2 linked regions of the Caenorhabditis elegans genome follow. The protein of the gene in region 1 purifies or fractionates together with the protein of each later gene. This does not show direct contact. Each region holds a gene or a part of one and is shown on either strand. Other genes may lie near its edges.

Region 1 (6,790 bases):
CAAATATTCGAAATAAATTTAAACGGTTGAATTAATTTCGAATTGCCGCATAAGTTCCGAGTTGCGTATTGTGCGTCAAAACACGCTTCTTAATTTAATTATACGAGTAAAAGCGTGTTTCGACGCACAATACGTATACGCCTGTCGAGTGAATTCAATAGTTTTAAAAACTCAAATTTAAATATATAAAAATGGTTTACAAAACCAATCAGATGAAATCCAATTAAAAAAGAACAATAAAATTTTTAAATGTCCAGCATTTCCTTTTTTCTATAAAAAATACCAGTAAAAACATAAAGTTTTTGCAAAATAAATAGAAATAAATATCAAAATTATTTCAATCATCTTCTTGTTCAAAATCTCCAAACGGCCATCCTCTTTGCTCTCCAGTCTGTAGTTCTGTATACGGCCAAGCAATGAATGAATGCGTCTTGACACCATGCACATAGTTGAACTCCTGGAAGCATGTCCTGCAGAAGTGTGTGTAGGTGTTGGGAAGAAGCTCGTGGCGTTCGACGACGAATCTGGAAATGTAAAATTTTAAATTAATTTACTTTGAGGAAAAACAATAATTTTTGCGAATTAAACTTACTCCACATGCCCTTTTTTACAAATATCACATTTCTTTTCATTTCCCTTCTCGTATAAGGTGAATGGATATTTATCGATTCCCCACGGGTCCGATTCATGAAGAAGTCGCAAATCATGAAAAACGAGTAGATGTTCACAATTCCCAGAATGCTGGAATATGTACGGCTGCCCTAGACGCAGCTTCAGGTCAATAATTCTGACTCCTTCCATACTACAAGCCTCCACTGGATCATAAATCTCGCGGTGAAGCATAAAGTTGCGGATTGGGCTGAAAAATGTTTTTAAACATTTTTCTAAAGAAAATTACTAATTACTGTGAAATGTCAATTGCATTGGGTGGCATATCCACATAAAAGGTATCATGAACAAATATAAATGATGATGGAAATCGAACTGCGGTTGCATTATCCAAATTCGGTGGATCCAGCTCCAAACCATTCTCCAATGGAACAATTGTATCACTTTGACATACCTGAAAGTTTAAAAAAAATTAAATATTTAATGTGTGTTTTAAATTCAAAAAATCATACAAATTTCTGCCGTAAATCCGAAAGAAGGGTGTCTCCACGAACAAGAAACTTGGTCATTGGCTTCAAAAGTCGCGAGCTCCGAAGTTCAGAAGATAAAAGTTCTCGATTGTATGGCATCAGTGCATCAACGATAAGGACAATGTCATCTTCACATTTCTCTAATATTGAACATTGAGGATGGAAAAGCTGGAAAAATTATTTTATAAAGATTTTTATTTTTATTAATTAATTTACAGAAGTATTTGCTCCGGCGTTCAACATGTATTTGTCATATTTCAGTGACGTGACATATGCGGACTTCCGCTGCCTTGAAGTTTTCATAGTCTTTTCTCGACTTATCACATGTCTGAAAAATTATAGTTTTTGAATAAAAGGTTTAAATAATATTTACTTGTGGGAAACTAGCGGTGATCGTTCGAGGAACTTGCGATCCCCCTTCATATCTTCAAATCGTCGAGTTTGAACGTCTGATGACCCCTCCAGAAACATATCGAGGCTGAAAATCAATAAAATTAGTTGTTTTTCGATTTTTTGAAATTTACTTTACTTTGAAACTTCTTCAATAGCTTCCAATGATTCTTCTTCTGTTACTCCTTGAATATAAGACAGACTGTTCTTCCACATTTCCATTTCATGTTCTTTTTCGGTTTTTGAATCGAAATCGTCCATTGTTCTATCGATAATAACTGAAAATTCGACAATATTCGATTGTTTTAAGATAATAAACTAACCTTCTCCCAACTCTCGAACTTCCAGCATCTCTTCCTTCACTGTGGCTAAATTGAGCAGTGGAGAAATATACCATTGTTCATCAGAATTGAACTTTCTGTCCATTTATTTAAAAATTGAATTCAAACAGTTATACGGAGGAGAAAGTTGGATAAAAGAATTCGAAAAATTGCTTTTTCAAAAAAAAAAACAATTTTCTGGAGGGGTACGGTGTACAACGGTGTTTGCACAGTTTATTGTACACCGACGCGCAATAATGCACATTTGTGTGCGCGGGAAATTTTGTTGGGCGGCAAATTTTGAATTTTAGGCCTCGAACATTCCCTCTTTTTGTCATTCTCATCTTCATTCGCTACTTTTTTTTGCAATTTTTTGCCTAAAACGCTTTCAAGCTACTTCTGCATCGTTTCGCGCTTTAAATTTGCAAATGGTCTGTCCTAAAACGTTCTGCCCCTCATTTTAGCTTCCTTTTTCTGTTCCATTTCCTGTGAAAGGTGACTCATTCATAAACTATTCCCTTCTCAGCGGTTTAGGAGACTGGGGAAATTGTAATTTTGTAGTTTTATTCGTGATTGATGCATAAAATTGCATAAAATAGGCCGCCATAATCTTTCTTGAAGGTCAGCCACCGTGTTTATCTGATATATAATTATTATGTCCTTGCTGCGATCAGCTCAACCGGGCGCAATAGGCGGATACCATTCATCATTTTCGACATGTACAAGTACTTCTCGTGTAACATATTTGCACAGCTTGTCATGGTTTCTGGTTATTCGGGTCATTTTAGTATCTGTTCCATTATAATTTCCCCAAAAAACTGTTTGCTGTTTGTTTCTGTTCTTATCATTTCCCTAGATTGCGTGTTATCAGCTCAAATTCTTCTGTTGTTTCTACTTTTCGGCGCCGAATGAATCACAGAAATAGAATTTCTCTTTGCAACTGATTAATATTTTGAGTTCCACTTTTTCAGTTGGCTAGTTCCTTAACTTCGTAAGCCAGGCGCGTCGTCTTTTCAAATTGCTAGATGGATGGGCACATTTTTTGAAATGCCTCGCCTGTGGCGGGTTGGTAAGGGACACCGCTGTCGCCCGTTGGTCAAGGCCGTCACAAAGCATTCGCGTCCCTGTCCATCCGAAACATAGAGGGCGCGGAGAGAAAAACGACGGGAGAAGGGAGGGAAGCACGGGCGGCGCCAGTCTCTATGTTTCTCGCTTGGTATAATGTGTCTCATCGACAACGGAAAGTGGGGGTAAGAGTAGAGCTCTTTTTCGTCCCCAGCGCCGACACACGACCCTTAACTCGACTTTTTTCGTCAGTTATTTCTTGGAATTTTTTTTTGAAGCTTCCCGTTGATTTGGATTGTATTTTAAAATCGTTATCCAACCAGCAACTGATCTAGATAGTACCCATTAACATTGTCTCCTGGCGCGTGTACTACGGTAATTGACCTTTCTCTGACTGGCTGCATGTGTGACGAAGTATTGGCTGCATATGTATCGTATTGTATAGGCGACCCCAAGCCGATTGTCACTGCCACGTCATCTCCGTTTCTCTTTTCTCCGCAATTCTCAATTCACCACCACCGCAGCCGTCAACAGGGGTACGATTTCCATCGCATTGAACTAGTTTTTGTCCCTCGTTTTTCTTCACGGTTCGTCTTCATCTCTTTTATTCTGAAGGCTTTTCAAAGCTGCAGGCCCCCAGCACATTTCATTCGGTTCCCATAGGATTACTGCGCGCCAAGCGGCATCTCCCTCTCTACCCCAAACCAATAGCACCAAATTGCACCCGATGAAAAGCCATCTGTGTCGTGTGCTCTATCTCCTTCTGCCAAACCTAGTGGTGACACGCAAAACAAATGGATTAAGCAAAAAGAGAGGGAATTGATGGACATTTTGTGTATGTTTCGCAATAGATTTGCCTCTGCTCTCTTCCTCTTCACCCATTCTACCCATATCTGCATATTTCGCAATAGTCTATTCGATTTCACCACCCTTTGCAGTCCAACAACGACTGCTGCCCCAGTGGCCACTGCGGTTTTTAATGCGAGCGGGCGCCGCGCGCCCCGTGTTCTCGCGATTATCGATCCGAATGCACACAGCGTCGGACACAACTGCGCCCGACCCGCCTCTTCTTCGTCTCCATTCCATACATCCCAAGAGCTGCATGTCTGCTCCTACAACGTCCTTTTGTTTCCTTTTTGGGGTAGCGATTATGAAAAGTGGGCTCATTTTAGAGCAAATAGAAAGGTACTTGCGCTGAAATTTTTATCGAAAGTAGTTAATTTCGGAGTGCAATAAACTAGAATCAACCTATATAGAATAGAAAAGAATCACCAATTAAACATCTCTTATATTTTTCAAGGTAACCTTATTCAACCTTATTCCTAATTCGTCTTTTAATTTCTTATTTTCGCCGTGAATCATTTAATTTCAGAGCACAATAAACTAGAATCAAATCACCAATTAAACATCTCTCAAATTTCAATGTATTAAAAAAACTTACTCCTTTAATTTTAAATTTTTGCCGTGAATCATTGCTTTTCAATATCGACCATGACGTGTTCTCTTTCTTTTGTTATTTTCCTTCATCTTCTCTATCTAAATATAGTTTTTCAATTCATTACGACCTTTTCAGCAAAAATGAGAGAGATCGTCCACGTGCAAGCCGGACAATGCGGAAACCAAATCGGATCCAAATTCTGGGAGGTCATCTCCGACGAGCACGGAATCCAGCCAGACGGAACCTTCAAGGGAGAGACGGATCTCCAGCTTGAGCGCATTGACGTCTACTACAACGAAGCCAACAGTGAGTTTTTAAAATTTTCTGGAGATTTCGAAATCGTTTAGTTGGAATGATTAATTAATTAAATTTTTTCAGACGGAAAGTATGTGCCACGCGCCGTGTTGGTCGATCTCGAACCAGGAACCATGGATTCTGTCCGCTCTGGACCATTCGGCCAGCTGTTCCGTCCTGACAACTTTGTGTTCGGACAAAGCGGAGCCGGAAACAACTGGGCCAAGGGTCACTACACAGAAGGAGCTGAGCTTGTCGACAATGTGCTTGACGTGATCCGCAAGGAAGCCGAAGGATGCGATTGTCTTCAAGGATTCCAACTCACTCACTCTCTCGGAGGAGGAACCGGATCTGGAATGGGAACACTTCTCATCTCCAAAATCCGCGAAGAGTACCCAGACAGAATCATGAGCTCATTCTCGGTTGTACCATCGCCAAAGGTGTCCGACACAGTTGTAGAACCATACAATGCCACCCTCTCCGTCCACCAGCTTGTTGAGAACACCGATGAGACCTACTGCATTGACAACGAGGCCCTCTACGACATCTGCTACCGTACCCTCAAACTCACCAACCCAACCTACGGTGATTTGAACCATCTTGGTAAGTTATTATTTCTTGTTCAAGTTTAAGTTATGCACAAGTTACCCAAATTGAAACCTAATAATTACAATTTTCAGTATCCCTCACCATGTCCGGAGTTACCACCTGTCTCCGATTCCCAGGACAGCTCAATGCCGATCTCCGCAAGCTTGCCGTCAACATGGTTCCATTCCCACGTCTTCACTTCTTCATGCCAGGATTCGCACCACTTTCCGCCAAGGGAACCCAGGCTTACCGTGCCCTTACCGTCGCCGAGCTCACCCAACAAATGTTCGATGCCAAGAACATGATGGCTGCCTGTGACCCAAGACACGGACGTTACCTGACCGTGGCCGCTATGTTCCGTGGACGCATGTCGATGAGAGAGGTTGACGAGCAAATGCTCAACGTTCAGAACAAGAACTCGTCCTACTTCGTCGAATGGATCCCGAACAACGTCAAGACCGCCGTTTGTGACATCCCACCAAGAGGACTCAAGATGGCTGCCACCTTCGTTGGAAACTCGACCGCTATCCAAGAGCTTTTCAAGCGTATCTCAGAGCAGTTCACTGGTAAGAAATTTGAAACTATCATCCAGTATCAGTTTTAAAAACGTTATTTTTTCAGCTATGTTCCGCCGCAAGGCTTTCCTCCATTGGTACACTGGAGAAGGAATGGACGAGATGGAGTTCACCGAAGCCGAGAGCAACATGAACGATCTCATCTCAGAATACCAACAATACCAAGAAGCAACTGCCGAAGACGACGTCGACGGATACGCTGAGGGAGAAGCTGGAGAGACTTACGAATCGGAGCAATAAATGCAAGATCCTTTCAAGCATTCCCTTCTTCTCTATCACTCTTCTTTCTTTTTGTCAAAAAATTCTCTCGCTAATTTATTTGCTTTTTTAATGTTATTATTTTATGACTTTTTATAGTCACTGAAAAGTTTGCATCTGAGTGAAGTGAATGCTATCAAAATGTGATTCTGTCTGATGTACTTTCACAATCTCTCTTCAATTCCATTTTGAAGTGCTTTAAACCCGAAAGGTTGAGAAAAATGCGAGCGCTCAAATATTTGTATTGTGTTCGTTGAGTGACCCAACAAAAAGAGGAAACTTTATTGTGCCGCCAAGAAAAAAGTCTCATTGCCTAAGAGAAACATATGTGGTTGGAAATCTTCCAGATCGTGGATCAATTGAAGAATTGTCATGTTGGCTTATAACGTGCCCAATGAGCCAATCATCTCCTATTCGATCCTCGACAAGAACACATTGACCTTCTCTAATCTTAAAATAATTCAGATTTATAATATAGATCTCAATTAAATAGAGCCACCTCAATCTCGTCAGCATGCTTCGGCTCAAAATCATAAAGAACTCTACAAATTGTCGGTGGACTTGAAGTGGGCTCATCGAAAGTTGTAGTTGTTCGAATAGGACCACCATTTGATGATGTTGTTGTTGTTGAGTAGAAACCGTCGTCGGATATCTGAAGATTGAAAAATGATTACTACTTACATGGGTTTTTCGCGGCAGAAATACGGTACGCGGTCTCGATAC
Region 2 (4,856 bases), on another chromosome or scaffold:
CATTAACTGAAAGCATAGACCCCTATGATTTCGGGTTTTCAGAGAAGATTGTCCTTCAATTCTAATTTCAGTTCTTAAACTCTTCACACTTTTTTAGGTAAGCACCTGGCCTGAGGATCAAATCTGCCCGTGCAAGAACTTTACCAGCAGAATCAATTGTAAGCTATTGTAATTCGTGCAGATAAGGTTTACATTACTTTATGTTTCATCTAGCTATTTTCAGATTATTCAAGAGACACAATGTTATACAATGAGGGAAAGGGATGCACTATAAGTGCTACATGCCCATCTAATCATTACCCCGTTGCGGATACAGTTGCAAGTTGGTCCGGCCTCCCGAGTCTTCCGAGTGACATAAGAGATGGCCTAATCGTGATTATGATTCAACGATGCGCGGCAATCGTCAATTTTTGCAACTTTGGGTTTTAGAATTTCCTACTATCAGGAATTCCGGCAGTTGTCGAAATTACCTAAATTGCCTGAAATTCGATTGCCGTGCACCCCAGTATGAATGATATTCTTATTCAAAAAAGTTTCCGTTTTTCAGTTTTTCAAAACACTTACCGTATTTTTCCCTCAACTTTGGAACAGTAACCAATTTTTTATAGAAAAATTAAAAATATATACTTTTTCAATAATTCATCAATTATTTGAAAGGTCTTTTAGTTTGATTTGTCACAAAAAATGCCAAACGTTGACATTTCCGCAAAGCATTAGACGCTAATTTTTTCAAGTTCAGTATGCTTCAATGTGGAATCGAACGCTCTATAATCAACTTCCGCCCACTAACCCTGATTTCGTATCTCTGTTGGGAATACAATGTGCCTGCGATACGAAGTCGCTTGTCAATGACAGATGTTTTGCATATTTCTGGTACATTACCAGATACCCGTTCGGGTATTATTATTTCGACAATAGAGGCAAAAAGATTGTCGTTAATGAAAAGATTGACAACGTCAGATCCACCTTTATCTCAATGTCTTGGTACTCTGAAATTAAATTACGTCATTAACAAATAAAATACCAATTTCAGCAAAGAATGGCCGTGAAAGGGACAGAAGTCGTGTATTGTGTCGATTGTCGTAATAAATGGTTATCATACACTCATTGTTCAATGTCGTTGCAAAAACGTTAATATAAATGTTTAAAACATAATGTTTTTTGTTGAAGATTTGCATGTATTTTACACGCTTACAACGACCCAGGCACCCGTGGCGTCATTAAAAAAATAATACAATACAAAATAGTGAAGATCATCTCTCAATTCCGCGGTTGACCAATGGGACGCAAGAACGAAACTAATGTGGATTTTCTGAAAGATCCTTTTTTTTTTGAAATACGTACTATAATAATCGCCTTCTTCTTTCAGAACTGTCTAGCTATTTTATTGCAAATGTTGAGCTTTTCTGAATTTAAAACATAATTTTATTACGGAATATGTAAAAATTGACAGGTGGTCAAAAAGTAGACAGATTTGTTTGATGAAAGATTTAATTTCTGAAATTTTGTTAAAACGATTGTTGAATTATGTGTGCTTTCTGTTCAAGAACATAATGACGAATGCAGTGTACTTTGAATTAAACCGTATTCTATTAGTACTGCCCCCCCCCCCCGACTTCTCAAAAAAAAGGTTAAAAAAATGTTATCCACTCAAGACTTTCTACAATTTATTCTCAGATCTATAATATCAAATTTCAAGAACTTTCAGAAATAAAACCCCCATTTTCCAAATTTTTGAACCGTTTAAAAATTAAATTAATAAACGATCTCAGCTTGACTAACACACTTTTAGGATTGATAACAAAAGATATAAACCAAAAGTGGTGGAGAATATATTCAGTGGCTTATTGGCGGTTCAAAGGCGGCCTTATTCATATTCAGATACAGAAGGCAGCCCTGTCCAGAAACTACTGTTGTGTTTCAAAATTTTCTCAATTAGTTTTGCAGTCTTCAACATTCTTACATTCTAACAAGCCAAAATAAAATTAGTTGCACATCATATGTGGTCTGCGTCTAGTGCGGAAGGACTATTGTATTTATTGATATCTTAACAATAGTCTACATGGACATTATTTATTGCTACAATCGACGAAGTTCAAGGCCACTTTGTACTGAAAAATCAAACTCACAATCAGTTAAATTCAAAATAACCTAAAGTCAAAATCATTTACCATCTGAACCCAAGAACTTTAGATTTCTTCCCTCCCCAATCCTCTCCGGTGATGTATTTCGTTCCAGTATCATCCATGTATGTAACTCCATACGGATATTGTGTTACATACCATTCCCCTTCATGACAATATATCCCGAGTTCGACCATAATGTTTATAGAGGAGTGTTCTGGCTGATCTTCTTCGGGAATCGTGGGAATCAGCTGAGATTGTTTAGTCAAGTTGATGATGCATTCTGGTTTCCCTTACCATTGCACCCGTACGATTACCAATACCAGGAATCTCCGACCCGTCAAAACTAGATCGGATGAATGTTTGGGAGTCTGCATTACAAGTGAAATTGCTACTGCAATGATTTCCATTAAAGGTGTACAGAATATTTTCAGACGAATCTGAAATCAATTAAGTTGGCTTGAGAGCTAGCCCACCAATTTAAATACCCTCGACCAAGCTCATCAGGTCTGAACATCTGCACATATTTGCGCTGAAACTTGTATATATTTTTTTAAATCGTATTATTTCACGGGTACCAAGAAAATCGTGAATCCGTCGACGAAACTATTGATCTGACGCCTTCCACGCTGTACCCATCAATAACAATCTTCTCATCGTTTTGATTGAAATAGGAATACCCAAATGGGTATCTTGTCACAATCCACTGGCTTGTACTGCGGTCACACTGCATTCCCAACAGAGAGACCAGGTCAGTGATAGGACCCCCGGCATAAACCCCCATAGGGTCTGTATGATTCCAAGTGAAAGCAAACTAAACGTAATCAATCTTGAGGGTGTGTTAAAGTGCTTGTAACTCACAAATGTATCCTCGTAAATGTCACTTGGAGTGGGTATGTCGGACAACTCCCAGGACAAAGTTAGCCACGTCCAATAGCCGACCGTGCAGTATACGGTTCTGGAGCAACCTAGCCCCTCGTAGTATACCGTGTTTTCTGCATCTGAATACATCTAGTTACGACTAAACTGTCAGAGCAGCTGGCTTACCGTTCAGGTTGTCATAGAGATTGGAGCACGGGCAACTCTGGTTCTGACATGCTAGACGTTCCATGCAGAAACACGAAAAAAATATGACCAGAAAAGCAAAAATTTTGATTTTCATGTTGTCATGTGAACAATTCTCTAAACGTCTGTCCTTTTATTCACCGAGTTGGTTCGTAAATTGATCTGTTAATATGTTAATAGCTAGGATGTTGGAGCACCAGAGATCAATACTGTAGACATTTTGATTAATTAACACAAAAGATGTTCGGTCAGTTGCCATTTTAAGATAGAGCCGGATAAAAAGATTTTGTCGACATCAGACCAACTTATACCAAGAAAGGTAGGTAGAAGGATTCGCCTACCTACCCTTTAGTTATCACGCTTTTCATCACTAATGAAACTTTTGTAAGCCAATCTTGGGTGTGTTGCTTTCCATGGGAAAAAGTTTTAAACTTTTCAAATTATGGTCTATGTATATTCTTGAATTATAACTTTAAATTTCCGCAAAGCCGGAAGTAGTCAAGCATTGATGTTTGGTTAAATACTCTAATTTGCATTTGGAAAGTAACACTTAACAAGATTATTGATCAGCTAACCGTATAAAAGCCACTCAAAACTATACTGTCTATGGTCGAAATGAAGCAATATCTCATTTTCCTACTTCTCATTTGCTATGTTGCCTGCGAAGACGAATATGGATGCGAAGACGATTGTGAGTGTCCAAGCTTTCTTGATCTAATAACAAGTAAGTTTTTGCACTACCTACTACCTTTTCCTCCACCAAATCGTTTTTCTACATAGATGAAGAACACATATTTTACACGGAAAATGCTGGATGCAATCGGAATGCGACGTGCGTGCCAGGTACTCATACTACAATTGCCTTTCGTTGGAGAGAATCCGAAATTCCTAAGCCAGATGATGACGTTACGGGCCTTGGAGTGAGTCTTCCATGCTTTCAGTAAAAATTTCTAGATTCCTGGTTCAGACTGTTCAAGCTGTTCTTGGTACTGCCGGCCCATTTGACATCTTTACACAATGCGGCGTGATCTGTGAAAATAATGAATGGTACATCACAAAATATCCAAGAGGAGCTGTCTATAGAGGATCGGACTTTTCAAACAGCCTGGTCGAAGAGGACACTGTTAATGGGCTGAAATCCAAGGTCTTTTTTGTATTGTGGTAAGTGGTAAAGGTGAAAACATGATTAATTTAACAATATTCCAGCGATGAGTGTCCATCTTGAGTGAGCTCAAACCTGGAATAAACTAATTGAAATGCTTTAAAAATAATAAATGATTTCAGCTTGACTAACACACTGTTAAGTTTGATAACAAAGTATATAAATCCAAAAGCGGTGGAAAATTTATTCAGTGCACCATCGACGGACCTTATACCGTTTCATACACAGATACAGAAGGCAGCCCTGTGCTGTATGACTTTGGTGCTTTCGTTTTCAAAAAAAAAAGTCGGCACATTGTGCCGATCGGCACTCGTCACTTCGGCACATTAGAAAAGAAACTAAATAGCTTCTTAAACAAATCAAATTCTTTTACCATTGAAGTTAGTAAAATTGAAATTAACATGATAAATTCCGTACATATTAATCAATTTTTGAAGTTTCTTTGCATTTATGAGTTTAAAAAATTAATTTTGGTGAATATTCCGAACAGTGCCGAAAAAAAGGTC

What was found. The genes of interacting proteins can lie anywhere in the genome.
Region 2: the proteins of snpc-3.4 (region 1) and T10D4.11 fractionate together in Caenorhabditis elegans (co-fractionation; one large-scale study listed by BioGRID). This does not show direct contact.

The regions. Positions count from the first base shown.
Region 1 is NC_003281.10:4,015,325-4,022,114, reverse strand, and holds snpc-3.4 (snRNA-activating protein complex subunit 3), read right to left. Parts: upstream 2,079-6,790; 5' UTR 1,956-2,078; coding exon 1,853-1,955; intron 1,808-1,852; coding exon 1,669-1,807; intron 1,618-1,668; coding exon 1,513-1,617; intron 1,468-1,512; coding exon 1,356-1,467; intron 1,308-1,355; coding exon 1,122-1,307; intron 1,064-1,121; coding exon 906-1,063; intron 860-905; coding exon 593-859; intron 525-592; coding exon 338-524; 3' UTR 232-337; downstream 1-231. Other genes in the region: tbb-2 (Tubulin beta-2 chain), read left to right, coding at 4,493-4,658, 4,731-5,249, 5,327-5,800, 5,856-6,049; C36E8.4 (SH3 domain-containing protein), read right to left, coding at 6,374-6,517, 6,567-6,719.
Region 2 is NC_003280.10:3,146,337-3,151,192, forward strand, and holds T10D4.11 (CW domain-containing protein), read right to left. Parts: upstream 3,286-4,856; coding exon 3,171-3,285; intron 3,125-3,170; coding exon 2,985-3,124; intron 2,938-2,984; coding exon 2,702-2,937; intron 2,656-2,701; coding exon 2,612-2,655; intron 2,564-2,611; coding exon 2,421-2,563; intron 2,375-2,420; coding exon 2,172-2,374; intron 2,112-2,171; coding exon 2,096-2,111; downstream 1-2,095. Other genes in the region: T10D4.15 (CW domain-containing protein), read left to right, coding at 98-158, 224-429; T10D4.1 (DUF19 domain-containing protein), read left to right, coding at 3,804-3,912, 3,969-4,108, 4,156-4,353.